Diceros bicornis minor: one gene and its partners. The protein of the gene in region 3 binds, or shares a complex with, the protein of the main gene of each other region. Links are inferred from orthologs where the notes say so. Each region holds a gene or a part of one and is shown on either strand. Other genes may lie near its edges. The genes, in order: CNOT2, CNOT11, CNOT6L and CNOT9.

Region 1 (7,695 bases), on a different chromosome or scaffold from region 3:
AAAGGAAAGACCCAACGAACAAAACCAAGGTAAAAATTAAAAAATAATTATAAAACCTTAAAACCCTAATGTCCATCCTATTTCTTTTCAAAGGCAGACTTTCTACAACAGACATCAATTGTAGTACAGCTCTTTTCAAAGCATCTATTAAAGTCACAATGAAATTCAATTCCTTTAACTATCACAGGTAGAAATCATCCTTAGTAAGCAAGGATCATCACCAGAACGACTACTATCTTCGCACCAGATCCCTTGGTATCAATATTGTATGTAATCCTATTCAAACACTGAAGTGGAACTCAGATGAACTTGGCCTCTAAAACTGCCCTACCTGCTGCTTTGGTTTCTTTTGCTTCTTTGTGTTATAAAAGCCACTAGAGGTCTAGGTAACAAACAAAATCTTATTTAGTAGTATCTTTTCCTACAAGACTGTATCACTATTTGCATAAGTTGTCCTCAAATGCCTATTCAAGCAAGCACATGGGAAGTTTGCTTTTAAATATGTACTCATAACAGAGTGAACTTTTTACAGTTAAAAATTTTGACAATCAAAAAAATACTATTTAACACTGCTTTTAAAGAGCAAAAAATAAATTATTTTTACTAGTCTATTAATGTCTACTCATTATTTCATATATAGACGTGAAGCATAACTTTTCTATATTTTTCTGTATCATCAGAAAACCTTATGAAGCAAATCTGTCACCAAAAAGTTTGGTGAAACTGTTAACTTCCCACGGGCTGTGAAAAATTCTGTACGAGTCTTTCAAAACTCAAGTACTTTTAATACCAATACCTACTGAAGAGATAAAAACCAAAACACTTCTAATTAGCAACACTTCTAATAAAATCTATTCATAAATCTCAACTATTTTATTTACTTGTGAACAAAGAGAATTTTCAGGTTATAACTGTAAAATATCTCTGAAAAATCAAGAAGTAAATTAAACTTCCAAAGTTACTAAGTAAAAACATAGGTAATTAGTTCTCTTGGGGAGAAATATCATTCTGAGTTTTATTTTATCTTCAAGATCAAGTACTTCTCAAACGACCGAGAACATAAATCACTCATGCATTTTGCCCTCGTTTTTCCACCATATAAATTTACTTTAAAACGAAAGTATTATAGAAACTGAAAATTTTTAAAAGGCTGTATTTGTTGCTTGGTTAAAGATACAGGCAATTCTCATTCCTCAAGAGTACCAGATTAGGTTACAGATACCTCTATACAGCATACTTAGAACAAAAGAGTTCTGCCAACAAATGATGCTTACATTAATTTATTTTTATTGATGCAGTAATAATTAGGATGCAAAAAGTGTGTAAGTTTCTCAACGGCTGTCTAAAATACAAAGTATTCACAGAAGTCACTGCAATTCAAGCCCTCAGGAAAAAAGAGAGAGAAACGTACCTTTTTAAAATTAAACAAGGATCTTAAAAAGTCAAGAAAGAAGTGGAGCAAGAGTTATCTTTTCTACGTGTTTTTTGTATTTTTCTTTTAGATTTAATATTACAAAAGAAGTACAAACTAAAGAGGAGTTCAACACGAAAAACCTACCAAAGCTCTTACTTCATTAAGAAATATTTCAATGACAAGAATCAGAATGTAAACATTTAACATTTCAGTCCACTGTGATTCTTCATCAATCCTTCAAATCTAGGATAAAGGTATCTTCCAAAACTGCAAGAGATGTGGGCATTGACGTTTGGGAAACAACTGTTTTCAAATATACCCAATATTCCCAAACAACCCAACGTGAACTTAGCATGTAAATAGATACTTTTCAAATTTGTATCCCCCCATACTTGATCATTTACACTTAGCTTCTTTCAAAAGGCAAATCAAAAGTTGCATTTACGATTCTAGAAGTCTAGAAATTCCTGATATCCAGCATGACAAAAAATGTGTCCAACTTTGAACACTAAATTCAAGCATGGCCTCCTTCTGAACAGATTTTGTTAACGCAGTACTTTCTATCATTTCGCCAAGAATCTAAGGGTTGACATCAGGGTACTGAATTACTAGAAACCGTCCAGAAGATTAAGAAAGGAGTAGGATTCTTCGACCACTTTTACGAAAACGAAACAAAATGTGCTGCATTCGGCCTTCTGGATGTTGAAAAGTGAAGGTGTCCCCTAGAATTCGAAGGAAGTTGATGTTGAGGTTCCTTCCGAGAGGGTGGTACCCGTATGTAAGACCTGGGTGGTGGTAACACCGTCCCCACAGGGCCTGGAATAAATGCAAACTCTTGGAAAAGCTTTTACGAAAGGAAACTCGAACTCGCCTTCGCAAGGCCCAGCCACCCGGAGTGAGCGCGAGGCTCTCCCTCCGAGACCGACCGCAGAGCCTCGGCCGACTCGGGCGGGCCTCTGCGAGCCCCACTCGCTTCTTCCGCGAAACTTTGAGCGAGACCCGAGACGCGAAGGTGGAGCAGCCGCGGCGGAAGTGGAGCCCGGCGGGCGCTCCGGCCGCGGCGCCAGGACCGGGCCGGCCACCGCGCACGGGAGCTCCCGGGCCCGCCCGCACCCGCACCCCCGCACCCCCCTCCCTCACACACACACACACACACACACACACACACACACACACACACACACACACACACACACACAAGTTGCCGGGCCGGAGCGCGAGCCGCGGGCTCGGGAGGCGGCAGCCCGGCCGGCCGGCTCGCGGCAGGCTCCTCCGCCCGGGAAGCGGCGCCGCCGAGGCCGCCGACCCCGAAGCCGCGCCCGGCCCGCGCCGCCCGCCCTCCCCGCACCCGCCCGCCGCCGCCACCCCCTCCCCGCCGCCGCTCGCCCTCTCGACTGGAGCCAGACAAAAGCAACGGGAAGCGGCGGGCCGGGGCGCTGCACGCGGGCACCCGGCGCGCCCGCACCGGCCCCGGGGCCTTCCCCCGCCTTGCGGGGCCCCGAATCCGCCGCCCCCGCCGCGCGCCCCGCTGCCAGACTTCCGAAAATTTGCCAAAAACTCACCGCATGAATTTTCTTGTCCCGCGGATCCAAGATGGCGACGTATCCACCGCGGAGGCTGCTGGGAGCAGGACCTTTACCCTCTGACCCCCACCGTGACCCCCGCCGTCCGGCTTCGCTTTCGGCGGCGGCGGAAGGTGGGAGCGGCGGGCCGGCTGGGCCGGGCCGGGCCGGGCCGGGGCCGGGGGTGGGCGGCCTCTCTCCCACGCGTCCTCGTCGTGTCCCCGCCGGCTCCGGGAGGCTTGCGGCTCCTCCGCGGCCGTCACGGCGAGCGGACCACGGGTTCCGGGCGGGCCCGGGGCGGGGAGTGCGGGACTCGTCCCCGCGGCCGCCGTCCTCCCCCGGCCCGGCCCGGCCCCTGCGCCCCCCGTGCACCTGCGGGCGGTGTGGCCCGGTCAGCGGCGCGCTCCTCCCCCTCCCCCCGCCCGGCGCCTGCGCCCCCCGTGCACCTGCGGGCGGTGGGGCCCGGTCAGCGGCGCGCTCCCGCCGCGGTGCCGCCGGGCCTGGGGGAGCGGAGGCCGACCTCTGCCCCCGGACGAGCACCTGCCGCTCAGGGGAGGTGGGCTCGCTCTCCGTGGAGTAACGGCTCTTCCTTCCTCTGAGCGTCGGTGAGCCTCCCGGGGTGCTGCCCGGCGGTCTGGGACGCGGAGCCTCCGCGTGTGCGCTTGGGATTGTGCTGTTCCATCAAGTGAACATTGTTACTCCTTTCTGTTTGAGTGATAGAATTTGTTAATGTAAAGTACAGTTCGTGTGGAGTAAATAAAACTTCTGCTAAAAACTCACTGTAATCCAATTTAAAATTTATCATGGAAAGGCAGACGGCCTCCGTCACTCATAAATAGCAGGAAAAATAAGGATACTATAAAATAAAAGGTGACTTTGTCATGTTTACGGGAGGCAAGCTATTTTGAGATGTTAGTAGATGTGTGAATTTATTTAAACTCCAAATGGTGCTGATGTAGCCAGTAGAAAATGTTTTGCCTGGTTATTCATTTCGTTAAACATTGTGCCTCACTGTCTTTTTTACTTCAGGAAACTTCAAGGAGGATCAACACTTCCTTATGTCCTTCCCTCCCTTTTCCTCCCCGCCCCCCACAGTCCTTTCCTGCTCTGAGCTTTCTCTTCCCTGTTAAGATGTGTGTTAAAAGGCTGACGCTGCCTCTAAGTATGTGTAATACGTATAGGTGTATGAATACATGCACATGTGTCTATGTACTACTGAGCGTGTATATCTAGCGATTAGTAATTTGAAAGTATAACTCGATATTTGGAATCATAAGATGGAATGATAAAAACGGGATATGCTTATAAGCATATAGTAGCATCAAGTATTACCATTCTAATCTGTTAGTTTGACTCCTGTATAGGACTTTGTTAAGACCAAAAGCTGGACCTTATTCTTACCATCACTATATTTACTCAAAAAAGCACAAGTTTTAAATAGCATGAACATTGGTGAAATTGGAGAAATCACTTCCAAAGGGTCTAATTTGAGGGCTTTGTTACCTTGATATTTTATTGCAAGAGACAGAACAACAAACATTTTCACCACAAATGTGTAGGGTAGGAGTGTTAGGAAGAAGAATGCACTGAGACTACTGCTTTTTTGAAGACACTGCTTGTTTAGGATAAATTTACTTTAGACCTTGTTAAAGAACAAGTTTTAAATTGTCTTGTTACTGGTGCCCAATCTATATAAATTTGTTTAATACCTGCCTTAGAGGTGGGTTCTAGGTATTAAATGAGCTAACATTTGTTAAGGGCTTATATTTATGACTTTCTATTAAGCACTCTAAATGCTGTATTTTTTAAATTGCCCTATTGCATCAAAAAGTTCATCTTTATTGCCAGTATTGATCAAATTTGCCCATTTGGTAGATAGTTCATGGTGTTTTGTTTTGTTTTTCACCTATTCACTTTGATAGATTTTCTAACTTTTACTTGTAAAACAGTCCATACCTGAGTAGATGTTGTGTGTTTTTGAAGTGTGTGTAAGGTAAATTCCTTGTATACCTAATAGGACGAATGAGTTTGTTGACTCATAACTAGCTGTAGGAAAGGGAGGCCTCCTGTTTGTCAAAGTGTGTAGACAATACTAAAAATCTTATCATGGCAAGGGATACAAAGGACAGGCATCTCTAATTTAATGTGCTGAAACAACGTTTGAATCCAAACATCTCCCACGGTCTTCCTGATTTCCATAAACAGTACCACCAACAGTCCATTCACTTGCTCAGGCAGAAAACTAGGAATCTTCTGTGATTCCTCACACCCTGGGTCCAACTCATCAGCCAGTACCCTCAGGTCTTCCTTATGTACATTCTTTTTTTTTTATTAATTTTATTTATTTTTCCCCCAAAGCCTCAGTAGATAGTTGTATGTCATAGCTGCACATCCTTCTAGTTGCTCTATGTGGGACGAGGCCTCAGCATGGCCGGAGAAGCAGTGCGCCGCACGACTGGGATCTGAACCCGGACCGCCAGTAGCGGAGCGCACACACTTAACCGCTAAGCCACGGGGCCGGCCCAACAAAATACTTTTTAACTCTGCTTTCTCAACTACATCAACTTGGTTGAATGTTTAAATACATGGTTAAGCTGTTTCCTTAATAAAAACATTAATTATTCTAGCCTATGTATGAATTATAAGATATCTTTCACTTAAAAAGTAAGATTATGGGCCGGCCCAGTGGTGTAGTGGTTAAGTGCACGCGCTCCGCTTCAGTGGCCTGGGGTTTACAGGTTCGCATCCCAGGCGCGGACCGATGCACTGCTTGTCAAGCCATGCTGTGGCAGCATCCCATATAAAATAGAGGAAGATGGGCATGGATGTTAGCCCAGGGCCAATCTTCCTCAGCAAAAAGAGTAGGATTGGCATTGGACATTAGCTCAGGCCTGATCTTCCTCACAAAAAAAAAAAAAAAAGTAAAATTACTCCCCCAAAAGTTACCAGATTCAATCAGTACATAATAGTAAATCAATTTAAAACTCACATATAATCAGCAAATACATTTTTGCTGGCAGTGAAAAATTAACTGAAATCTGTTTTAAAGGGAAAAATGAATTAAATACTGAATTGATAACAGGAATGAAAATAATTTATAAATACACATGATAGGTCAATGAAAGAATTATCTGTGTTTCTTAAGCAGTAATGGCATTAGCCATTCAAATGCTTAGTGTTAGCCTGCTTTTTAACTGAAGAACTTAAAGTGAAAATACATTCAGTACAGAAGAAAGTGAAGATTATGAAGTATACAGATTGCAAGGAAACCATGGGTCTGGAAGAAACAATCTAAAAACCATACTGCAAACTGATTCCATCCTATTCAATAATTCTTGCTCTCACTGTTTTTATGTTTAACTTAAAATTTTTACATTCCTTTTTTGTTTTAACATTTTATTTTTATTTATTCCTTGAAACTGCCCACATTGCAAATTGTTCATGGATGAAGTACAGAGCTGTGCAGGTTTTTTTCTACAAAATTATAGTATAAACTTAATCAGTTTTCTATCTGATTGCTAATAAACCTTACAGCACACAGTTTGTAAAATACACCCCTTAAGGACTGAATGTGTAGAGTATGCTCAAGGTACAAAAAATAAGCTAAACATAAGCATATGAATGGCAAACATCATAACACAAGAAAAAGAATTTTAAAGAGATACAGTTCAGTCCTGAAAGGGTTAAATAGAAACCTTAATATTATTGTTTCTAACCATCCATCTCATGGTGCTTGAAAATAGTCAAAAGTCTGGCACAAAAAAATTACACACATTTGTTCATTATACATCAGAAACATAGCAGCTTTTGAAATCAAAAATAAGTAACTTGGGCCGGCCCAGTGGCTTAGCGGTTAAGTGCGCACCATCCGCTACTGGCGGCCCCGGTTCGGATCCCGGGCGTGCACAGAAGCACTGCTTCTCCGGCCATGCTGAGGCCGCGTCACACATACAGCAACTAGAAGGATATGCAACTATGACATGCAACTATCTACTGGGGCTTTGGGGACCAAAAAAGGAGGAGGATTGACAATAGATGTTAGCTCAAAGCCAGCCTTCCTTAGCAAAAAGAGGAGGATTAGCATCAATGTTAGCTCAGGGCTGATCTTCCTCACAAAAAAAAATAATAAATAAATAAAAAGCGAGTAACTTGATTAATAATTAAAAAGCATTTTGTTTCAAAAAGAAACCGTCTGTCAATTATCTGGTTAAACACGAATAGTTAATTTAGTTCTCAAAAACTGCATTGGAAATTTTCTGTGAGGATACGTGATATCAGTTCCATTTAAACAAAACAGTAATGATCACAAATAAGTCTATGCAGTAGGGTGATAAATATTTCACTAATTAATACGTATACCAGGATACCTTAAGTTGCCAAAGTTTAAGAAAAGTCAGCAACAGGTTAAATATACTAGTGTTCAACTCTAACATCTCCCCAAATATAAAGGGAATAAAGCCTTTAGCTCACCTTCCCAGTCTATTGACAAATTCAACAGAACTAATAAAAACTGTTAGTGGATCACAGGCTCAGCTTCTATGCATATTTTTAGAAATTGCATAGAATCATAGCATAAGATCTCAAACAAAATTTAAAAAAAGAAAAACCAGAACACACTGTACTTTAAATGAAGCATTCACCATTCTAAAATGAGAGCTATTATGATGGAAAATGACCGGCATCTCTAATAATGCCATCATTTGGGGGAGGGGCATGTTC
Region 2 (7,416 bases), on a different chromosome or scaffold from region 3:
AAGATGAGGTCATACTGGAGTAGGTGGGCCCTAAATCCAAGGACTAGTATCCTTATAAGAAGGCCACGTGAAACACAGACACACAGGTGATACTGAACCTCTTAATCTCAAGTTTGTGTGCCCAAGGCACAGAAAGCCAAACACCGAGACATTGGTGCTTGGAGACAGAGAAAGGCTCTGTTCAAGTTGGCCAAGACGAGAAGGTGGGAGCACGGGCTGTCTCAAATCTGCCTTCACCAGAGCAAAAAGCAGGGGGGTTTTATAGAGCTAAAGGGCTTGACAGGGGGAGCTTCAGAGAAACAAAGGGGTCACTCCTGATAAGCCCCTGGGCAATCTGCAAGGGCTGCTGGGGGCTGGCCATCTGGTGATCACAACTTCCCAGGAGGCGTTCTCTTTCTTCTGCAAAACAAGCTCTCAAATCCTCTCCACCCAAGTCACCCCTCAAGTTAAACAAGAAAACTGCAAATTGACAAGATTCATCTATGTCTGTGTTGGGAACAAGGTGAAAAAGCAATCATGTTCTTATTGAATATCTACAGTAACCCTCAGGTACCCAGCTCTACCAGGAAGAAGGCCATGTAACTGCAGAGGCAGAGATCGGAATGGTGCAGCTACATAAGCCAAGGGATGCCAGAGACTGCTGGCAACCATCAGAAGCTGGGAGGATACAAGGCAGGATTCTTCCCTGGAGTCTTTAGAGGGAACATGGCTCTGCTGACACCTTCATTTCTGACTTTTAGCCTCCAGAACTGTGAGATAACAAATTTCTGTTGTGTTAAGCCACCTAGTTTGTGGTTATGAAACCAGTAAACAGTTAGCCATTGATGATTAGGTAGCTAGTAACTAAAGTTTTGTTTTGTAATTACTGATTATAGCTTTTAGTTGTTCACCGGTCCATTGTTAACTGCTGTTTAGGCAATACGCTATCTGACTCCCATTAGGTTCCTATAGATAACATCTCTCTAGCACCTGGGTCACCATGGTAATGGATGTTTGAGCTGTTTTTCAGGAATTAGAACCCCTTGTCCACTTCAAGCCGGTTGAGACCACCAACCCACCAACTGGGCCTGAGCAGACGTCTGATAAGTGACCTTTTGATGTCAACAAGCTAAAAATTCCACCCTCGGATCATGCTAATGCCACCATTATGTGAACATGTATCCTATGAAGAAGCCTGAAGTTTGACTACACTTGTGCAGATCATCAATTACCTCGCCTCTCCTCACCTCCAACCATGTATCTCCACTTTTCAGACCAACTTGCCCCCATAAATATCCCTGAATCTCCGTTTTCAGGGCAGCAGATTTAAGACTTGTTCTCCCACCTCCTCACTTGGCTGCCTTGTGATTAAAACTCTCTCTCTGCTGTAATCTCGTTGTCTCGGCAATTGGTTTTCTGGGTGACAGGCAAAAATGACCTTGGTTTGGTAACAGTTACTTGTTACCAGGAAACTAATGCAAGGCCTGAGAGTTGTTTTCAGGGAACATGTAGGAAGTCTGGAAATCTTTTTTTGTTTTTTTTGAGGAAGATTGGCCCTAGGCTAACATCTGTTGCCAATCTGCCTCCTTTTTTCCCCCTTTTTTCTCCCCAAAGCCCCAGCAGATAGTTGTATGTCATAGTTGTACATCCTTCTAGTTGCTCTATGTGGAACGCTGCCTCAGCATGGCTTGACGAGCGGTAAGTAGGTCCGTGCCCAGGATCCAAACTCTCAACCCCTGGGCCACCGAAGCAGAGCTCATGAACTTAACAGCTACCTCACCAGGCCAGCCCCCAGATATCATCTTAATTTTGAAAATGCTCCTATAGGAAGAAAAGTATTTAGTTCTTTTTTGGGGGGAGGGGTAAATATAATGTTCAAATATTTTGAAACATCTTGAAAAAAAGTAAAACCTATTCATGTAGGCTAATTGCTGTAACAAACAGACCTCACAATGTAAAATGGCTCTGTTGAAAAGAAATAACAGGCCCAAAATAGAGGCACTTGTGTTAAGTACCACCAAGACTTAATACCTAACCTAAATACAGTTTCAGCCTCTCCCAGGAATGGAAATTTAAACCAACTGGTCTGGAATTTCCTGATCAACACTAGTGAGGTAATCTGCCTGATAAGGCCTCTTGCCTTCCTCTAAGGGAAGGTGATGTTCAGGCAAAATAACCAATAACCATTCTATAGATAAGAGAGACAGGGTGAGTTTTACTTGAGGCAGGGTGAGGATTATAATCTGGGAAGGCAGTTTCCAAAAAGGAAGAAAATGTTCCAGAGAAGCATGGTTTTCAGTCCAGTCTTATACCTTTTGAGAACAAAGCACATACATTAAACACACCCAAGATACATATTCACCAAAGTTTCAAAGATGTATTTAGTTGCAAATTAGCAGGTCAACATGACTCTGATGTTGGGAAATAGTCTAATACAGCTGTTACCCACACAGCGTAGGAGGAGTAGTATGCATTCTTATCTTAAGAGAATGCATTCTTGGGGCTGCCCCGTGGCCTAGTAGTTAAGTTCGGTTCGCTCCGCTTCAGGGGCCCAGTTTCTTGGGTTTGGATCACGGACATGGACCTACACCACTCATCAGCCATGCTGTGGTGGTGACCCACACACAAAATAGAGGAAGACTGGCACAGATGTTAGCTCAGGGCTAATCTTTCTCAAGCAAAAAAAAAAAAAGAGGATTGGCAACGGATGTTAGCTCAGGGCGAAAAGAGAGTGCATTCCCTAATGGTTAAGCAGATCTACAATGCATGTTTGATAGGCCAGAAGTCAGGCTTCTTTAGTTCAAGCCAAACCAGTTTTAAACCTGAATACTTACCCCATATACCTCAATATGCGAAAATCTCTTGTCAGTAACCTTGCCTGAAATGATCTACTCTTGGTCTCACCCTCATTCTGCCTATAAAAACCTTCCAGGGACCAGCCTAGTGATGCAGCTGTTAAGTGCTCTCGCTCCGCTGCTGGTGGCCCCGGTTTGGATCCCAGGAGCACACCAATACATCGCTTGTTGGGCCATGCTGTGGCAGCGTCCCACATAAAGTGGAGGAAGATGGGCACCGATGCTAGCTCCGGGCCAGTCCTCCTCAGCAAAAACAGAGGAGGATTGGCATGGATGTTAGCTCAGGGCTGATCTTTCTCATGCACACACAAAAACCTTCCATTGTTGTCCAAGTCCTTGGAGCTCCTTTCTACTTGCTAGATGGGATGCTGCCTGATTCATGACTCACTGGATAAAGCCAATTAGATCTGTAAATTTACTAGATTGAATTTTTGTACTTTAACAGTTCAAACACAAGACAGTTTTTTTACTATAGTAAACAATAAAATGAGAGTACTTTCAAGCTAATTGGCAATTTCTCTTCCTTCACTTTTACTTTAGAATTAAGGTGGCGCTTAACTAGATAATTCTTGAACTGCCACCATTGTTGAGCGCAGGGCGGAATTCCCAGGCCTGCCCTGTGGGCACGTTTCTGGAGGTCTAGCTAGGAGCTGGGCAGGTGTGGGAGACGTCACTCGGCCGTTCTCAGCCCCGAGAGCACATTAGAGTCACCTGGGAAAGGGTTTCTGTTTTTTGTTTCCTAATACCTGAGCCATCATCTCCGGGGCAGGGGCCCGGCACCAGCATTTTTAAAGGCTCCCCGGAGGGTGCCCACGCGCCGCCGACACCCAGGATCAGCGCCCCAGGGCAGGCTAAGTCAAAAGTCGCACAACAGTTTTATAAGTGAATATTTATTGGAAAAATTTCCCCGAAATCTCCTTAAAAATAACCGTGTACAAAAGCTCTCGTACAATATGACTCCATTTCCGCAAAAACGATTGTAAGACTGGGAATTAACTTGGGTTATGAGAAAGGATGGTGTCTTCAGTTATTTGCATTTAAAAATTTTTTACCATAAATAGTCATGTGCGGTACATTAAGGGAGCTATTAGAATCTAAGGTGCATTTCTCCCGACAACAATGAAGCCCGCATTTGGGACCGTTTGGTACCAGGCAGTGCCCCGGGGGCTCACGAGCCGTCCTCTTTCCCTCGCACAGGCGCAGACGCACCCCCCGCGCCCGGCTGCCACGCGGGTCTTCCTCCGCGCGCGCCCAAACCCCTGCCGGCGGCTCCCGCCCCTCCTGCAGGCCCCGCCTCCACTTCCGGCCGCTTCGCCCCGCCCACCCAGCGCCGCCGATCCTCTCCCTGGCCTCGCTCCGCGCCGTCCCTCTCTTCCGCGGCCGTCTGGCTTCCCGGCGTGTTTTGTTTGCGACGCTGTCGTGTCACAGCGCGCTTTACGGCCGCGGGGACGGCGCGAGCCGGCGGCAGGGCCACTTCGGCCGGGAAGCAGGACGGGAAGGAGTTTGATGCCCGGCGGCGGTGTGAGCGCGGCGTTTGGCCGGCTTCTCACCGCCGGGGAGCAAAGGGGGGCCCGGGAAGCGGCGGGGTCGACGTCCAGGAGCGGCCCGGGGGGCTCCGGCTCGGGCGGCGGCGGCAGAGGCGGAGCAGGCGGGCCCGGGCCGGGGAGTGGCGGCCCCGGGGGCCCGGCGGGCAGGATGAGCCTGACCCCGAAGGAGCTCTCGAGCCTGCTGAGCATCATCTCGGAGGAGGCGGGCGGCGGCAGCACCTTCGAGGGCCTGTCCACCGCCTTCCACCACTACTTCAGCAAGGCTGACCACTTCCGCCTGGGCTCGGTGCTCGTCATGCTGCTGCAGCAGCCGGACCTGCTGCCCAGCGCGGCGCAGCGCCTCACCGCGCTCTACCTGCTCTGGGAGATGTACCGCACCGAGCCGCTCGCCGCCAACCCCTTCGCCGCCAGCTTCGCGCACCTGCTCAACCCCGCCCCGCCCGCCCGCGGCGGCCAGGAGCCCGACCGGCCCCCGCTCTCAGGTACGCCGGGGGCGCGCCGCCCTGCCCCCGCCCGGTGCGCGGTGGGGAGACTTGGAGTCACCAGTTTTCCACCTGCGCTTTTGGGAATGCACCCGCAAGTGAAATTATCTCCTTTTGAAATCCGCCCCCTCGACACTACCAAGTGTGGAGAAATGGGAGCTTAACGATCAATTCATGGCACCGAAAATTATTCCTCGCAACGGTACAGACCGTGAAATCATGTAGCTCAGTGTGGGGCTTGACATTTTTAGTGCTTCAAATACAGCTCTTGCTTGTAAAGCCCGTCTGAGGTGTGTAAAATTGTAGCTGATGACACAGTGGATCTGCCCCTGCTTTTCAGTCTCAGAGGAGTAAATAGAAGTCGTTATTCAGAACCCGAAGAAGTTGTTGGACGGAAATACACATTAAATAGCGGTTAAGGACTTTGCAGCCACCTTTGTTGGGCTGCTAGGTATACTTGGATAATGTGATGGGGGCAGAGGATAGAAGGTAGTCTCGTTCACCGCTTAGATTAGAAAACGCATGACTACTGGACGTTATGTCAAATACAGCACTGGTAAGATCTGATCAGTGGGTTCCGTCCGAGGCTCCCTTTCTTTTTCTTTTGAACTCAAGCAAGAGATACTATGTGAGACGTGACTTGAGGAGAAGACTTGCAGCCAGGAGGGGAGAAAGGCACAGAGGCGATGGTGATGAGGGATAAATGTACCTAGAAGACTTAGACAAGGACCAGTGTTGTAGAGGAAGCAGGCGGAGGTGGGAAACAGCTTGATCTTACAGTACTTAACCAGTGGGTAAAAGGGCAGGTCACTCTATGGGTAGGGGCTGCTATACAAGGAGTCAAAGGTTAAGGTAGCGGATTTTGAGTTAATAGCGGAGTTTTTCGCAGCGCAGGAGGGCTTCTACATTATAAGCCGGCTGGTGTTCTGCCTGGCATCCCCTCTGGATCTAAAGCGTTTTCTCTTTGGTTTTCTGCATTGCTCTTATCAAAGGGGCAACCTTTGTGTTGGATGAGATGCCCTTAGGGTACAAGTACTGAACCTGGCTTTCAGGAAGTTTGAGAATGCCCAGAAAGGGAATGCAGCATGTGTATGAGTGGTCAAAACCTACCACCCTGGGGTGCCCTTACCAGAGGATGGGGACAGTGTGGGATTTAGGTCAGAGGACCCTTTGAATTCTGAAGGACAGGTTAGGAAAAGGACATATAATGTCGCTTTCAAATGCAAGGAGTCTATACCCAGATGTAGTCCATAGACTGCATTGTAAACACAAATTTGCCAGAGAAGGAATCCATGGATTGGTTATTTTACCTGTGTCTCAGTTTCTTCATCTGTAAAATGCAGATGATAATTCTTAGCTGGTAGAGTTATTATGAGGAATAAAAGTATCTATGATGAATGTTACCCATTATTATCATTACTTTTATTAAAGGTAGGGACAGTGCTGAAATACACAGCCAAGGGAGTATCAATGCCAAGGCTTATGATACTGTACGTGTAGGGTGAGCATATAATGGGTATATTTTTAATAAGTTTTTCAGATGATTCTAACGCAGAGCCAGAGTTGAGAATGTATCTGGAAATAAATAAGATGGCTTCTCAGCTCTCAAGAAGCTTGTGTTCTGGTTGGGGAGGCGTAAACATAGGATGCAGTGTGGTAAGGGCTGTATGTAGTAGGTGTCTCAGAATGCTTGGGAGCACAGAGGAACGTCTACCTGCATAGCTTGCGAGATTCTCAGAGGGAGTGATGTTTTTGGTGGATGTTGATTAGAGATGGGGGGTGGTTTGGGAAGGATGTGGCCCTTTATTTCTTTTATTCTGTTTTTTTTTTCTTTTTTTCTCCCCAAAGCCCCCCAGTATATAGTTGTATATCTTAGTTGTAGGTCCTTCTATGTGGGACGCTGCCTCAGCATGGCATGATGAGCGGCGAGTAGGTCCGCATCCAGGATCCGAACCGTTGAACCCTGGGCTGCCGAAGCAGAACGCGCAAACTTAACCACTGCGCCACCGGGCTGGCCCCTATTTCCTTTATTCTTAAAGAACTGGGTGTATTGGATGTTTAGAAATCAGGAATCAGAGAAGCTGAGAGATTTTGTGCAACTGGAGTGTAGGATACATGGATTGGAGGGGAGTTCAAGAGATGGGATTAGGACAGTGGGTCAGAACCAGATTATGAAGAGCCTTATAATGGTGCAGAAGTTTGGGTTTAATTCTGTGTTAACAGGTTAAGTAACATGAGCAGATTTGTACCTAGAAATATGATTAAATAGTAAGTGGGAGTCTGGACTGTGGGTCAAAACTAGGCCGGAGTCAAAACTGGGAGCTGGGGAAATCAGGAAGGCTGTCCTGTAGTTGGGGGCAGGGAGGGTGGTGCGGTTGGACATGAGGGAAGGGAGTCTGGTGGTATTGCTGCTGTTGGATGGGTGAAGCTTGTTGAGCTCCCTTGTTGACAAAAGGGAAGCAACATTCAGCACTGTGGGAATGTTTAGCTGCCCTGTGCACTGGAGCAGGTACGTGAAGTGTATTTGCATTACTGGTGATTGCTTCCTTGTCT
Region 3 (7,647 bases):
ACTAATGCTTAACTAAGCATCTACTATGCGCCAAACATTTGTTTTCTCCTTCTATCCTCAGACAACCTTACTACAAATGTATTATCTCTGTTACAGAGAAGAAAACAGAGGCTTATAAATATTAGATACCTTGCCTCAGGTCAAAAAGCTAAGAAAAATGGCACAGCGAGAGTTCTGAGGTCTGTAAAACAAGTCCTTTCTCCACTAAACGACATGTGTTGTTTTTCCAGTAGTGGTCACAGAAAACAGTTCTCCACCCATCCTATTCTTCCCCCTACTTCCCGGTGAACATCATGGAACATTTCTTTGTGAGACCAGGTTCAGAAAAAAGCAATCTCTGGCCACCGTGACAGAGCATGGCCTCCAAAGATAGAACCTATATCTTGACTTGATCCACAGGGTTTTCTAGATGGGCTAACTAGATGCGAATGGAAGAGGGAAGAGTAGATCAAGTAAATCAGCACAGAATTATCCAAATACCATTTCTATTGGGTTCTGAAGTGCACTGTATACCTACTGGCCGATTTATCTTTACAGTTGCGTTTTACTTAGACTACTCTCAAAATAGCTCTCCAGGAGCACACACTGAGTAGACAATAGAAGCTGCTTGATCTAGGTTTTGGAGACTGTGAGGGAAAACGTGTTTGTTTGTGTTATGCATGACTATCTTGACTGGCAATTAAGATAACTAACTACAAGCAATAAGCTAGTGTCTCCCAAAATGTAGTACTGTGCTTCCAATGTGGACAAACGGCTCAGCCCAACTCCTGAACACAACCCATCTCAAGAGCCTAGGCTAACTAGTCGGCCGAGTTCAGGATGACAGCTCCAGGAACTTCCTCTTCCTCACCGACCCCCTCAGCTCGGCGCGTACACGCCTTTCCCCCTAGGAGGCAGGATAAAACAATTTTGAATGCCCCAAATCGATCCAATCCCACCAACACCACAGGACACGGAAGCCAGCTTCCATTTCTTCCCCGGCCTCTCCAAGAAAATCTTTTATCTTAAAAAAAAAAAAAAAAAAAAAAGCATACCTCTTACCAAGGAGAAAGTACGTGCAACGAAAAATGAAAATATGGATGTAGTCCCTCCACACAGCCGTCAGGGAAGGATTTAAGGAAGGGATCCCGCCAGCGCGTATCCCCGAGATTTACTGCTTTGATTCACTTTCCCTCGGGTTCCACCGCCGGCCGGGGAGAGCTCGCAGTTCGAACGCCGAGCTACGCCTTCGCCTCTCCTCAGGCGAGCCGGCGGCCGGGGCGACGGCAATCGGCGCGTCCCGCCTCCGACCCTCACCTGCCCGGGCCGGCGGCGGCGCCCTGGGCCCGCGCGGCCCGGGAGGCGGGCGGGCGCCGAGGCGGTTAGGCCGCGCTGCAGGCCGGCGCGCTTCCTGCCGCGGCTCCGGGAACGGCAGCCCGCGGAACGGCGGCGCGGCCCGACCGCAGCGCGTGTGCCGCACACACACTCGCCCTCCCGGCCCGGCCCCGAGCAGCTCTCACCTGCGAGGCTCCGGAGCCTCGGCTACAGAGCGGGAGGGACACGCCGCTCGGGGGTCCCGGACACACGGAACCCGCCCCCAGAGTCCCGGGCCCTGGGCGCGGACACCCCCACCACACACACACACCCCGGAACCTTCGCCGCCTCCGACCGCGGCGCGGGTCAGCCCCACACCCGACACACACCCACTCGCCGTGGGTCCTCAGGCCGCCTCTCCGCCCGCCAAAGTCCCAACTCGCGCACCCACACGAACATTTGTCCCTCTCCCACCTCATCTCCCCGGGGACGCGCTCCTCTTCCCCACACTCTCGATCCTACTCGCAGGCACACACACACTCTACCTCATTCTCTTCCTCCGGCCCAGGAGCGACAGCAGCCATTTCCCCGCGGCAGGGGAAACACACACACAAACACGCGCGCGCGCGCACCAGGCCCCCACAGATGCTTCCCCTCCCGAGCGGCCGCCGCAGACGCAAACACAAACACCCACGGGCGGCCCGCGCTCCCGCCCGCCCCGAAGGGAAGCCGCCGCCACAGGAAGGGCCCGGACCCCGGCTCTCCGGCGGGCGGGCGCGTACGGCGCCCGGGCCTGGGTCGCGGAGGGCCTGCGCCCCCTCCTCACCTGCATTCAGCGCGCCGGGGTCCGGGCGGCGGCGGCGGCGGCGGCGGCGGGGCGGCTGGTGCTGGTGTTGCGGCGGCGGGGGAGGCGGCGGCGGCGGTGGCGGCGGGGCTGAGGGCAGCAAAGACATGCAGGCAGCCCGCCGGGGGGAGAGGCACCGGCCGGAGGGGACGCGGGGCGGGCGGGCCGGGCCGGGCCGCCTGAGGAACGGCAGAGGCGGTGGCGAGGAGGGAGGCTGAAGGGAGCGAGAAGGAGACGGATGGGGGGGCGGGGAGGGGACGAGGGCCGCGCCGCCGGGCTTCGGGGACGGTGACCCTGGGCGCGCAGGAGAGGCCCCGCGGCCGCCGACGCGAAGGCCCCCGCCGGAGGAAGCTTCGCCCCCGCAGCCGCCGGAGCCGCGGCTATTACTCCGAGAGCCGCGCAGAGCCTGGCCTTGGCCTTGGCCTCCTGGCGCCTGGGCTGCCGCCGCTGTGGGGGTTACTGCTGCGCCTGCTGCTGCCGCGGCCGAGGCTGCTGCACAGAGACGCCAGCTTTCGGTGCCTTTGCTCTCGCTCACACACGTTCACACCCCCGAGGGCTGGGGGAGAGGCGTCCGCGCGATATCGGTATTGAGATTAATAACAAGGTGCAGAGAGTGCGAGGAGGAGGGTTGATTGACGTGGAGGGGCTGGCGGGAGTCACTCACTCCCCTGCGCGGAGGGGTGGGGTGAGGGCAAGGAGGCGGAGCTCTAGCGCCGCGCCTTGGCCCCGCCCCCTGGCGCCGCGTTTGGTCGTGGTGCGCGTGCGCGCGCGGCTGCCGGGGGGGGGTCTTGCCTGTTTTCTCCTTTACCCTTGCTGTTTTCTTACTCTCTTTTCGTGGCTTGAGTGACGAGCAGAGCTGGGAAGGCTGGTAGGGTATCAGAAATCCACATCCACTAAGCCATGGTGGGGGAAGGGGAGAGAGTGGCGAAGCCGCCTCACCCGGTGTTCGTGCCTGTACTCGGTGCTGTTTACTGCTCGCTCGCCCGAGGCCGCGTGACGGCGAAGCCGAGCGCCGGTCTGGGTAGCTAACGAGACGCCAGGTGAGGTGAAGTAACCGAAGGAAATGTTTCCGGACCTCTTCGGTGGGTTTTTTTTTAACGTGTGCCGCCTGTGTAAGTTGTATCGCGAAAGTAAATAAGAGAACCCGTGACGCTATGCGATAACCCGGTCCTGTTTATTTTCTAATTCTCCTTTCTCGCGATAGAATTACGTTTGTTGGCAACCGCCAGCTACAGAGTGAAAACATCAAAATGTAAACTGGAAATATTAATATTTACTTGGTGAATGTGGCCTTGACATTTTAAGTTTCTGGGGTTTAATTTTGTTTTTGTGAGTCAGTTTCAGCAGTCCCAAAACAAATCATACCAGCTCTAGAGGCAGAATGCTGCTGTTGCAGTTTTGCACAATCTCTTTCTCAATGCATGCTCCGAGCTTGTGTACTTACCAGTATTGGTCAAGGGTTTATTAGTAGTGTTCAGTAGTTTTTTCCCACAGGGGTAGTGTTTAGCACACTAAGCACGTTGTGTTGGTTGCAATTAATCTTAGACCCTATTGTCGGATGTAAAAGACCTTCCTCTCCTGGGGAAAAAGATGCGGTAAAAATGCAAATCATCATTTAGCCAGAGCTGATCAGCTATTAAAAGACCCCACGATTGCAGAAGAACAACTGCACCACTTTCGTCTTTGTTACCAGGAATTGTGAGTGAGTGACTGAAGAAGCCTTTCAGGACATTCGTGGCTACTTTGTTTTCCACCTGTGTTAAGTTTCTATCTCCCTCCCTAGCAACCAGCTAGGTTTCCGTTTCCCACCCCCATACCAGCTTTTGTAATAGGTGTCCAAATGGTCTTCATCCTGGAAGAAGTCCCACTGATTCCCAACTATCTTGAGCCTAGGCTGACATATAATGAATAATTATCTTTGGCTTTGTACAAAGCCAAACAAGTCACTTCAGGAGCCCAGAATAGTAAGCCTGCCTCAGTGGCATCTTGCCACAGCGTTTTTCCTTGGCACACAAACAGTCTTCCCCAAGGAGAAATGCTACCAAATGTGAAGAAAAGAGCGAAATAGGCACCTGAAAAATATAAATCAGATGATGGGAAATCCTCACAGATTTAAGCTTCTTCAAACACCTGTAGATATATAGATTCCTAGCTATTCATTCGTATACAATAAAAAAACGTCTGTGGAGGGTGTTTTATGTTCCAGACATTGTATGTAGCGTCAGAGATAGATAAGCATATGTAGTCTCGATTTTTAAGTAGCTCACAGTCGTGGTAGGAGAAGCAGACACATAAACAGGAAATTCTCACAGAAGAAACCAGAAATGAAAGTATGAAAGGTGACACAAAATTAATAGTCACAACAGTGCCCAGGAGGATAAGGCTGATGGCACTGGCATTTTCACTTGAGCTATATGATACCTGCCACTCTCACAGGCTTACTAGCGGTAGTGACTGGGGTAAGGAAAGAGGGGAGCCTTTGTGGATGTTCAAGAAGCATTAATAATGGTGGGGTTTGCTGGTCCTGAAACTCAGATTTATATAGGAAATATTCATCGTTGGCCTTTAAATTTTAAATACTAAACGCGTCACAATCCATGGAATAATTGTAATTGTGTCATTCAGAGTTAAGAATAGTGAATTTAAAAAAAAGAGTGGATTTTATTATAAAATATCAATTGAATGAAGGTTGAGTTGAAATAATCTCTACTCTAGGGATGTTCTCTTGATACCATAGCAAATAAATTGACTCACTAGAAACAAAAGGAAAGCAATACTTTTATATATTACCCAGTATAACTGTATCATCCAAAAAATAGATTGTTGTTTTTCTCATTTGCAGTGAGATCGAAATTAGAGAAATAATAATTTTCATATAGTTGGCACTGTACAAATGCTGAGAAATTAAATCTTCACTGATATGAAAAAAATCCCTCATAAGACTCCAATTCAAAAAACATTCCAACAACAAAAGAGTAGCACTTAAGCGATTTTTAAAAAGCAGTTTTATAGTACATCAAAGTTTGCAACAGAATAGTAACCTACTTTTGATGTCTCATTTCATGGGAATTTTTCATGTTTGACAGATACTGCAATTTTTTAATTAAGATTAAAAATAAGAACATAGTAAGAAAATATCACTTTTAAGAAGTGATTTATCCAAGTGAAAGCTTTTGGCTTAAGTAAGCCTTTTTGACCAAGTTGGTGTAACAGTAACACTATGTAGGTACAATTTGTTCTGAAACAACACTTAATGTTTATTTGTATTATTGTATTATTACGGAATTGGTTCATTTCTTCTCAATAAAAAAAAAGTACTTGATGTTCTAGCGACTACCTGTGTCTTTTCCAAATTAGTAATTAATATTTGATGTGAGTAAATCTGATCTCTCCATGTTTTTTCTGTTGGTAGCACAGGTAGCTGAACCTCTTAGATCCCTTATAACTGTTTCTTTGTCTGTTTTCTGAAATTCTGTTGAGCAGCTTGCTCAGAAGGCAAAGATTTAAAATTTTTTATTTAAGAACATTATTACTATTTGATAAAGAACCAATTAAATTTCATTTTACTGATTTCAATACATACCTTTATACTAACTACATAACTTTTCAAGAAAACGGTCACATTTCAATTATTCAGTAAGGTATAATTAGTAAGATAATTAAATGTAATCTACCTGATATTCATTAGTACAACTTTTAAAGAAGTATTAATCAAGGTGATCTTGAATTTTTACTTCCCAGACCTACTGACAGGGCTTGCAAACTATATTCCAGTGATATATTCTACCTTTTACTGAACTACTCTCCATCTTCTCATCTTTTACTCATCTTTTTACTCTTCCTCTCTCTCTCTCTATCCTCATAACTTTATTTCTAATGTTTTTTGAGGTACCATCTACCATGGGTATATTCATCGAAGAAAGGTGGCATTACTCATTGCCTCTACCCCTCTTTGGGTCCATCAACTCTCTCTTTCCATCAAAGTCCCCTTTGTTCCTTTCTCTAGAATGACTGTTGATGACGCCAAGGACCCATCCCAGTATCTTAGCCAAAGATGAATATTTTCCACGATTATTAATAGTGTGCCATATATATATTAGTCCTAGGTAAAATGAAAAGTAGGCAGAGTTCATCTTGGTACCCTCCTGCCTGCTCTTTCTACACTCCCTGTCTCAAGTCCCTTGATCCCTGAATATTCAAAATCTCCACCCCAATCCCATCAACATCAGCACCACTCTTTCTAGTACTTCCCTATTGCAGAAATTTTGTACTAGGTAAGCACCACCACCATCAATAAATATCTAGTGCTTAAGTTTTTCAAGGACTTGGAGGCATGCTATGCAATTAGCATGCTATCCAATCAATAAAATCAATTATTTTAATGCTCTACTCCGTGGATCCTCATGAGGTCTTCAAAGGTATGCTTCAGAAGCCACCTAGGGTACACAGAGGGGACCAGATAGGTGGGACCTCAACTAGAAAGCCTCTGTTTTATCTGTTTTACATATTGACCATTTAATTGTCTGCCTGCTAACTTTCCTTTTTCTACAAACAATGCTCCTTTCCTTTGGGGAAAATATTCTTTCCAATACTGAAAACAGGTGATTCTAATGGCAGCTGCAGCTCAAGAGAGTCCCCCAACTTCTTGGCTAAAGGGTGGGCATATGCCTCAAGCCAAAGCAAGCAGAGTTCGTCCTGAGAATGTTTCAGGTGGGACTAAGGGAAGAAGGGCTATTTCACTGTACTAGTAGTCTAAGACAAGAAGGAAGGAAGGAAGAAGGAAGTCTTGAGAGTGGCCAGTGGCCACATACTGCCTTGAATAGAATGAAGTCATCACACAGAGATGAGAAGCGTAAAGAGCAAGTCCTGTTGGTGCACCAGTCTCAGGTTCCAGTCATCCATGGGGTCCAGCTCCACCTTTTCACATAGTGTAGTTAAATTAACTAAGAAATTCTGTTCTACACCTAAACTAACTTGAGTTAGACCTTTGCAACCAAAACATCCTGACTAATCCGTTGTATTTCCACGTGAAAATTCTTTCAAAGAAGGCTAACTGGTGCTAAATAAGTTTGAAAATCACTGAACTAAACTACAATAAGACATTATTATTGGTGGAATCATAGTCTACCAAATGTTGTAGGTCACTTGGTCTTACTTCCTCATTTTCCACATGAGGAACCTAAAGCAAAGTGACTTGCTGAATATCACCCAGGCAGTCAATGGCAAAGTCAGTGTTAGAAACTGATCTTTAGATACCTAGTTCAGTTGTTCTCTTCATTACACTACTGTGTTGTCTGTTTAATTCCTCCCAACGGTACTTTTAAGAGGCAATTACTTAGAGATACGACCTTAACCTAAAAGAATAAATCACAACAATGGTAATTGCAGACACTGCTTAGTGGGAAGATATTTGGCAGCATGGAGGCCATAACAGACCCCTTTTCCTCTTTGAGACTTGCACTTGTTTTTCATATTGGACCCAAGCACACTCTTTGAGTCTTAGGTGGTCA
Region 4 (7,881 bases), on a different chromosome or scaffold from region 3:
CAACTCAGCTAAAGAAAATATAAGTGTGCCTTTTTAAAAGAATCCAATTTACAAAATTGAAATTAAAAAAAAAGAAAGTGATCATTTATACAACCAAGATTAACCCTTTGATTATTTAAAAACCACAAACTACCTTACTGAAAACATTTAAAAAATAATGCTCAAGATACACACACACACAAGATCAACAGAACCTTAAGGATATATCTGCTGTGCAAAATGAGGGACTCCAGGAGGAGCCTGCACCTTGATCAATTTGTGTCTTGGTTTATTTATCCCTGCTACATTTTGAAACTAAGAAGGCAGTGAAAAAGAGTATATCCTTTGTTGACTTTATAAACATTGTTATATAATGATGTCTCAAATCTTAAAATACCACTACTATGATGTGCTGGTACAAATTTCAAAAGGTGGGTAAACTTCATTTTTACTTTTCTTTTAAAACTAATTTTATGGGTTTGTTTCTCAAATTTAGGCCTCTCTAAGCCTCAACTTTCCCTGAAGTTTGACCCAAACATCTCTCACTGCCTTCTTCAATGCTATAACATCAACTTTACATTTATTTGTTCACTCAGTAAAAAATCATTTACTGAGCTACTCCAATTTGATGGCACTGTGATAGGGACAAATGCAAAGATGATACAGTCCATGCCCTCATTAAGAGACTCCCCAGACTTCCTTGGATTTGTCGTTCCACAGTCATTCAGGCAAAAATCTTAGCATCAGCTTTAATTTCATTCTCATTTATCTAAAACCCAATCTTTTCATGGCTACTACCCTAATTCAGAAACTCTTCACTTTGTCATCACTCCCATCTAATATTTATTACACAACATTTACTAAGCACAGTACTAAGGGCCATACATGCATTATCTCATTTAATTTTCAAAATAATCCTAAAGGACAGGATAATAGGATAATCCATTTTACAGACGAAGAAACTGAGGCTTATAGAGATTAAGTAATTTACCCATGGTTACAGAGTCAGTAAGAGACAAAATTAAGTCTAACACTAGAGCCCATGTTTTTAAACACTACCATATTGCATCCTCATCAATGATTTGCAGTAATCACTTTCCAGTCTCCATTCTCTCAGGATTTTTCCATCCAATGAATCCTTTGCCCTACAATATCCTTTCTAAAGAACTTTATCTCTTACTAACTAAAGTATGCACTACTTGTCTCCTTAGCTTTCTCCCTAGAGTGGAAGGGTGGGGGGGCTGTCTTATCTTCTTTTGTACTCCAACAAAATAACAGGCACTTAGTAAGTGCTAAATATTTGCCAATGATGCTAACTCTCTCCCAAACATTTTTAAGATTTTTAATTTATTGTGGTAAGAATACTTAACATGAGATCCACTCTCTTAACAAACTTTTAAGTGTACAATACAGTACTGTTAACTATAGGTACAATGTTACACAGCTTATCTCTAGAACTTATTCATCTTGCTTAACAGAAACTTTCTCCCAAACATTTTTAACAGCTCATTGCTACCTATAAAATAAATCCAAACAACTATGTTTGGCATTCATACACCTATTTTTTATTTTCTATTTCTCAACACAAATCCTGTTCTACACACAAATTATTAAATTTTAACATTTTCTTCCACATCCACCACCAACAACTTACTTAAATATGGAATTTTTCTTTATTTTTGGAAATCTTATCCTGACTGGTCTCACAGTTTAACCTGTTGTTAAAATATATAAACCACTGCTCTGATTCCTAAGGGCTTTCTTTCCTAACAAGATCCATAAAACAAGTGCGCAAAGAGATTAAATTAGTGTTGTGGCTGAGAGTAAAGAAGAAGTTGACCTAGATAAAGTTTATCTCCAATTCAAAGAGTCTAAAATATGAATGATTTTATGATATAAGAATGGGTAAAATCATCCAGAGCTGGAAAACTGTTTTTTTTCTTTTGCATCCTTGAATTTGTCTGCAGGGTGAAAAGGTGTGTGTCATGGGATGACAAGATTATCAGTAAGCTGGTGCTTCCAAAAGACATGATGGTTCTCACAGCAAGTGCCAGTTTACTTATTCATTTGACAAATTCTTGAGAAATAGAAATGAAATAGTTACATATTATATATTGGAGAAAGACTTTAAATAATCACACAAGTAAATATATAATTACAAGTTCTGAAAAATGACATAAAGTTCAGGGCATGATGAAAGATTATAACAGGGTAGAGGGGGTAGAGGTTAGAGAGCATCAAGAGAAGGCTTCTCTGAGGAAGTATCACTTAAGCTGAAAATTAAAGAATGAGTTAATTGGGGGATGGCTGTGCTGGAACAATCTAGGCAAACAGAACAGCATGTGCAAAGGCCCTGTGATGGAAAATAACTCGGTGTGACAAAGGAAACTAAAAGCAGTGAGGCTGGAGTTTAGTGAGGAAGAGGAGGATGGTGCAAGATGAAGCTAGTGAAGCAGGAAAGAATCAAGTTACACAGAATCTTCTAGACCATAGTAAGGATTCTGAATTTTACCCTAGATGTAATAAATACCTAGTGATAGGAAATCCAATGAAAGGTTTTAAGCAGAGAAATGACATGTTACTGCTGAATGGAGAAGTGATGTGGTTTGTTTGGGTTTGGGGAAGAGAGTGAAAAGAGTAAGAATGGAAGAAAACAGGGCAACCAGAGAGGAGAGTATTGACCTGACTCAGCCTATAACAACAATTACAATTACAATTACTGCTTACTGGCTATTTACTGTGTGCCATGTGCTTACCATGGCTATCTCATTTAATCCTCATAACAATGCAATAAGGTGATTATTATTCCCATTTTACAGATGAGAATACAGGGAACCAGTGACATCAAGTCCAGGTAAAACAGGATTGTGGCTTGAACTAGAAAGGTAATACTGAAGATGCACAGAAATAGATCCAAGACATATATCGGAAATAGAATAAACAGAACTTGAAGAAGGTATGGATACATGGGATGAGGGAGAAGTCACGAATGGTTTCCAAGTTTCTAGCCTATGTAAGTGGATAAATGGACAAACTGGGATACTGGAGGAGAAAGAATTTGGGTATGGAAAGATTAAGACTTTGGTTTTACACTTGTTATATTTGAAATTCCTAAGAAAAAATCAAGTTGAGATGTCAAGCAGACAGGTGGGTATTTTGATCTTGAGCTGAAAACAAAAGGAACAAGCTGGAAATAAAAATTCTTAAGTCATCAATATACAGATGGAATTTAAAGCTTAGGGTGGAAGGGAAGAGTAAAAGGAGAACAGGGCCTCGGACAGAAGCTAGATAGTCCTTTTTTCCCCATCAAACGTCTCTTGCTATGGTCATCGGTTACTTGGATGTCATCGGGCTTTTCAGTCCCCTTCAACTTTACCTTTCAGCAGAATTCAACACTATTGATGACTTCTTTTGTCTCTTTCACCCCTCTACCCAGTTATTAACTGCCAAGAATCCCTCAGTGCTCCATCCATCCTAGGTCCCCTTCTTTTTTAGAACTATACTCTTTTTAGGCAATTTCATCCACATCCACAGCTTCAACTACTATCAACACAGCGATAAGATGTATACATTTATCTATCTATCCAACCCAGAACTCTGCTGAGCTCAGACCCAGTACATCCAACCGCCTACTTGACATCGTCTTAGATATCTCTTCCAGTTAGAGACCTGTCAGATACTGCCACCCCAAAAAAGGCGTTTACACAAAGCCCAAATTTTGAAAGGATGACCACAAAACCACTACAGGCCAACTTTCCAGAACAGGATTTTGTCATCAGTTATCGTTTCCTTTCGTGGACCGTGACCTAAAATAGGTAAACCTGACAACCTGATGGCTAGAGATGGGGAGCAACCAAAGGCAGGACAAAAAACACCCTTCGTGCCTTTTAGCGAGAGATGGTTAGGTGAGGAAAGAAGGGAAAGAACGGTCAAGAGAGTGAAAGAGTATCACGTCCAAGGCCTGATGGACGTGCGGCAACGGAAGTCACCTGAAGACACAGCAGGCCTCGCTAAGGGGCGAGTGGCGGACGACGACAGCCCCCCGCGAGCAGGCGCCGGGTTCGGTTTGCGGAGGGAGCGAGGGACAGCAGAGACCAGGTCCAAGGAGAGAGAAATCCCGGGGGAAGACCCAAGCGGAGTACCTGTGAGGCCAGGGGAGCGTCGAGGGGCTGGGGGCGGGCTGAGCGGCACCGGGCGAACTCTGGAGGAGTGAACGCCGAGTGGGCGGACCGCACGGGGCGGGGGGGGTCTTGGGGAAAACGGCTCAGTTGAGAAGCTCGCCGGGCCCGCCTTACCTGTGCCTGCGAGTCCGGAGCCCCGGACAGGCCCGCCGGAAGCACGGAGTCCGCGCGGAGGGGGAGGAGCCCGGGGTAACGAAGGAATGGACACCGGGCACCAAGGAGTGGGGCCGCTCGCTCCCTCCCAGTCAGGGAGAGCGGCTGATGGCGGGAACTGTGACCACACGCAAACACGCACGCACGCACGCACGCACACTCGACGCGACCACACGGGGCGCGTGCGCGCAAGCCTGCAAACTCCGCCCCTCCCACGCCCTCGCCCCGCCCCAGCACCTAGCGTAGTCTCGCCGAGGCAGCCCCGCCCCTGCCCTGATGTAGTACGCATGCGCACTTTCCACTTCGCTGCCTTGGGGCCTCCCACCGTTTCCCTCATGCTCAGCCCAGTCGGGCATGCGCACTACTTGCCCTCCTGGGACTGCCTGGCTTTTCCCGCCCTTCACTGGCCTCCGGAGGAGGGTCAGAGTTCACGTCCCTCTCTTGGGATACCAGCTCGAAGCTGGGGGATGCGAGGACTAGTGGGTGGCGGACGTCCTTCCGGTCCTGAATCTTAAGGGGCAAAGGACACACGCTGGGACTATTAACTCAGCCGAGAGCTAGGAGGCGGGAAGAGGTTGTGTGGGCGGGGTCAAGGGTGAAAGGTCAGAGGGCTGCGAAGGGGGCGGAGCGAGCCGGAGGCGGATGGCGGCTGCGGCGGCTCATCGTCTTTGGCGGCAGAGGCGCTGAAGCGGGGACGCGGGTCGGGCGCGTCCGGCAGTGGGAGGAGAGCGGCGGCCGCTCCCAACATGCACAGCCTGGCGACGGCTGCGGTGAGTGGCCGGGCCGCCCGGCCTCGGCCCAGAACCCCTCCTCGGCCCTGCTTTCCGGCCTTCTCTCCTCGCTCCCTGCGTCGGGCTCGGAGTCGGGCTCCTCCTGCCCTCCTTGCGCGAGGCCCCGGCCCCTCGTTGCCGCGCTGGGCTGCGTGGGACCCGGCCCCCACGTTCCTCACCGGCCGGCGCTCGCGGCCTCTGGCGCCGCGTATCGCCTTCTCTCCCGGCCCGGGGCCTGGTCCGGCGCCCGGAGCGCCTTTTCGCGGCCCGGACAGGCCATTCATTGATTCACTACGCTGACCGACAGTTTCGGCCTGCCGGTTTCGTGCTGGGCGTGGGCAGGGATGAGGGGAATGCCGTGGTCCCTCTGCCACGGCCGCGCTCGGGACGCACTGCCTAGGCGCATCGCAGCGGGAAAGAAATGGCTACTAGCTCAGACCGCTTGCGTTATAGATGGAAAAGCTGAGACCCGGAGAAGTGAATAATTATTACGTCTGACTTATGGTTCTACTGCGCTTACAACCTTTTTTCACACGTCTCATTTTACCAGCGCGATCTTTTATCAAGAAAAACGGATCGTGTAACTCACCTGTTTAAAGTCATCTTATGGCTTCTCTTTGCATGTAGATAAAATCCAGACTCCTTGCCATGGCCTACAAGGCGCTGCTTGTAGGATGTGGTCCTTACCCATGTTTAGTCTCATGTCATTTGCTCCGTAGGCTCTGGCTACAGGGACCGCCGTGCCATCCCTTCTGCCTGCACTTTTGCATTCCAGGGTGCACTTTCTGATCTCTATTTCTGGAATGCTCTTCTTACTCTCCCCGCCCCCCCCTTACTTACTTACACACAGACACACACAGCATGTGGATGTAACTGGCTCCTCTTCCCTCAAGTCTCAGCCTAAAAATCTCCCTAGAGTGGCCTTCCTCGACCACCCTATTTAAAGTAGTTTTGTAACCCCCAGCTTTTCTCTGTTAGAGTACTGTTTACAGCATTGATCCCAGTTTGTAATTTTTGTATTCTTTTATCTGTCTGTTGTCTGTCTCCCTCTTGATCCACGGGGATCATGTGGGTCCTGTTTATATGGTTACCCCAGTGCCAGGACAGTTCCTGGCACAAAGGAGGGGCTCAAATACTTTGCTGAATGAAGGGGTATAGATGAGGGAGGTCACTCCTGAGAGCACATAGCTGTAATGGGAAAACACGATCATATGATTTGAGGATACTCTTCTGAATGCTCATCCTAATTTTTCTGTTTTACTAAGGTGATGTGACTTAAGGAGAGAGTAGTATACTGAAATTGCATTACCAGGGAAAAGGACATACTAAATAGAAGACCAAAAAATTGCCTTAACTTTAAATATATAAAGTGAAAAAGAGAGCTGAGCATGACTAGGTTATAGAAAGCATTGTCATTTCCCAGGCCTGTGGCATCTCTGTGTCCTATCACCATGTTTCTAAGTGTTTGTAACTCTTCAAAGTGGAGAGGTACTTTTTATATCTCTCAATTAGGTAATTGCAATTTCCCCAGCTTTTTTATTTCTTCTAAGTAATACATGTAATTTGAGAAGAAGCAAGTCAGAAGATATGGTTGCTGCTCCTAGGGGAGTGGCAGGTTAAACAAAGGATTCTTCTAAGGTTGGCTTGTCCATCTTTCAAAATCTGATTGTCTTCTCCAGACTTTGATATCAAGCTGCTCCTTTCCCTCTGCCTCCGCAATCTCTCTACCTAGTCAATTCCCTTTATTTTCAATTGCTCCCTAATGCATCTTTGGAACAGCCGTTAAAGCTGTGGTTCATTACTTATAAGAAGTACTGGATACATGTTTTCTTCAATTAAATTTACAATGCTTTACATTTATTTAAAGTTTGAGCTTTTAGATATGCTGTTTGGACCACACAGAAACTCTGACAAGTTGCTTTGCACCACTTATTTACTAGAATATCTGGTTAGTGAGGAGACTGAAGCATAGAGAAGTTGAGCGACCTCTTTCCCAATCCTTCACGCCTTCCATTAGACGAAACTGTCTGTGTTATTCTGATCTGGGTAAAGGAACTGTAATGGTGTATATCACTCACAAGAAATTGAGAAGAGTTAATAATACATGCAGCAGTGCCTGCAATAATCTAAGCCACTTGAGAAAATGCTCACTTTCTGCCTAATGATGAAAATTTTTGTTTGTGTATACCTTTATCTCTTTTTAAGAATAACATCACTTCAGCTAGGGAGATAGTCTATCAAAGGACAACGTGATCACATGTGAATGCAGGATGTATTCACTAGAGGGAGGAAGTTTCTTAAATTTTGACTCCTGAGTAGTAGTTTATTACGCTAGAAATGTATAATATAGTAGACTCTTGTCATTCTTTACAGAATACATCCTAACATCATCATTGTTGCCACCATAGAATATAATTTCGTTCTCACATCTATTAAATAGGGACAGAGACACCACACAGGATTATTCTAAAAATTAAATAAGAATAACAAAGTGCTCAGTGGTTGGCTAGGTTCACTCATTGGTTAAATGACTTGCTCCCAGACTTCAGCCGTGGGATGCTAACTCCTGCCTCAGCAAAATAACAAATCACTTTGTTGTGGACCTTGGAGGTTGCTTCAGATTAACAGAGCTGCAAATCTTCACGTACCGTGGGTCTTCTGTAATGAATGTTATGCTGGTGATCTAAAAGAGCCAAAGGTAAACCTTTAGGAGATGCATGGGGTATGCGTTTTCTCTTTAATTTCCCCACTAACTTCCACTGGCAATTCTAACATCCTTAAACCCTTGTCTTTCCCTC

Evidence for each region.
Region 1: CNOT6L (region 3) and CNOT2 share a complex: the UniProt entries of both Homo sapiens proteins name them as parts of the CCR4-NOT complex. The link is inferred for Diceros bicornis minor from reciprocal best matches to the Homo sapiens genes CNOT6L and CNOT2.
Region 2: CNOT6L (region 3) and CNOT11 share a complex: the UniProt entries of both Homo sapiens proteins name them as parts of the CCR4-NOT complex. The link is inferred for Diceros bicornis minor from reciprocal best matches to the Homo sapiens genes CNOT6L and CNOT11.
Region 4: CNOT6L (region 3) and CNOT9 share a complex: the UniProt entries of both Homo sapiens proteins name them as parts of the CCR4-NOT complex. The link is inferred for Diceros bicornis minor from reciprocal best matches to the Homo sapiens genes CNOT6L and CNOT9.

Annotation. Positions count from the first base shown.
Region 1 is NC_080756.1:1,258,925-1,266,619, forward strand, and holds the start of CNOT2 (CCR4-NOT transcription complex subunit 2), read right to left. Parts: upstream 3,031-7,695; 5' UTR 2,982-3,030; coding exon 2,977-2,981; intron 1-2,976. UniProt on the Homo sapiens protein: Component of the CCR4-NOT complex which is one of the major cellular mRNA deadenylases and is linked to various cellular processes including bulk mRNA degradation, miRNA-mediated repression, translational repression during translational initiation and general transcription regulation.
Region 2 is NC_080779.1:12,245,836-12,253,251, reverse strand, and holds the start of CNOT11 (CCR4-NOT transcription complex subunit 11), read left to right. Parts: upstream 1-4,215; 5' UTR 4,216-4,340; coding exon 4,341-4,863; intron 4,864-7,416. UniProt on the Homo sapiens protein: Component of the CCR4-NOT complex which is one of the major cellular mRNA deadenylases and is linked to various cellular processes including bulk mRNA degradation, miRNA-mediated repression, translational repression during translational initiation and general transcription regulation.
Region 3 is NC_080747.1:63,136,498-63,144,144, forward strand, and holds the start of CNOT6L (CCR4-NOT transcription complex subunit 6-like), read right to left. Parts: upstream 3,046-7,647; 5' UTR 3,028-3,045; coding exon 2,963-3,027; intron 2,512-2,962; exon of another isoform or gene 2,120-2,511; intron 1,918-2,119; exon of another isoform or gene 1,844-1,917; coding exon of another isoform or gene 1,839-1,843; intron 1-1,838. UniProt on the Homo sapiens protein: Has 3'-5' poly(A) exoribonuclease activity for synthetic poly(A) RNA substrate.
Region 4 is NC_080776.1:8,937,260-8,945,140, forward strand, and holds the start of CNOT9 (CCR4-NOT transcription complex subunit 9), read left to right. Parts: upstream 1-4,717; 5' UTR 4,718-5,059; coding exon 5,060-5,083; intron 5,084-7,881. UniProt on the Homo sapiens protein: Component of the CCR4-NOT complex which is one of the major cellular mRNA deadenylases and is linked to various cellular processes including bulk mRNA degradation, miRNA-mediated repression, translational repression during translational initiation and general transcription regulation.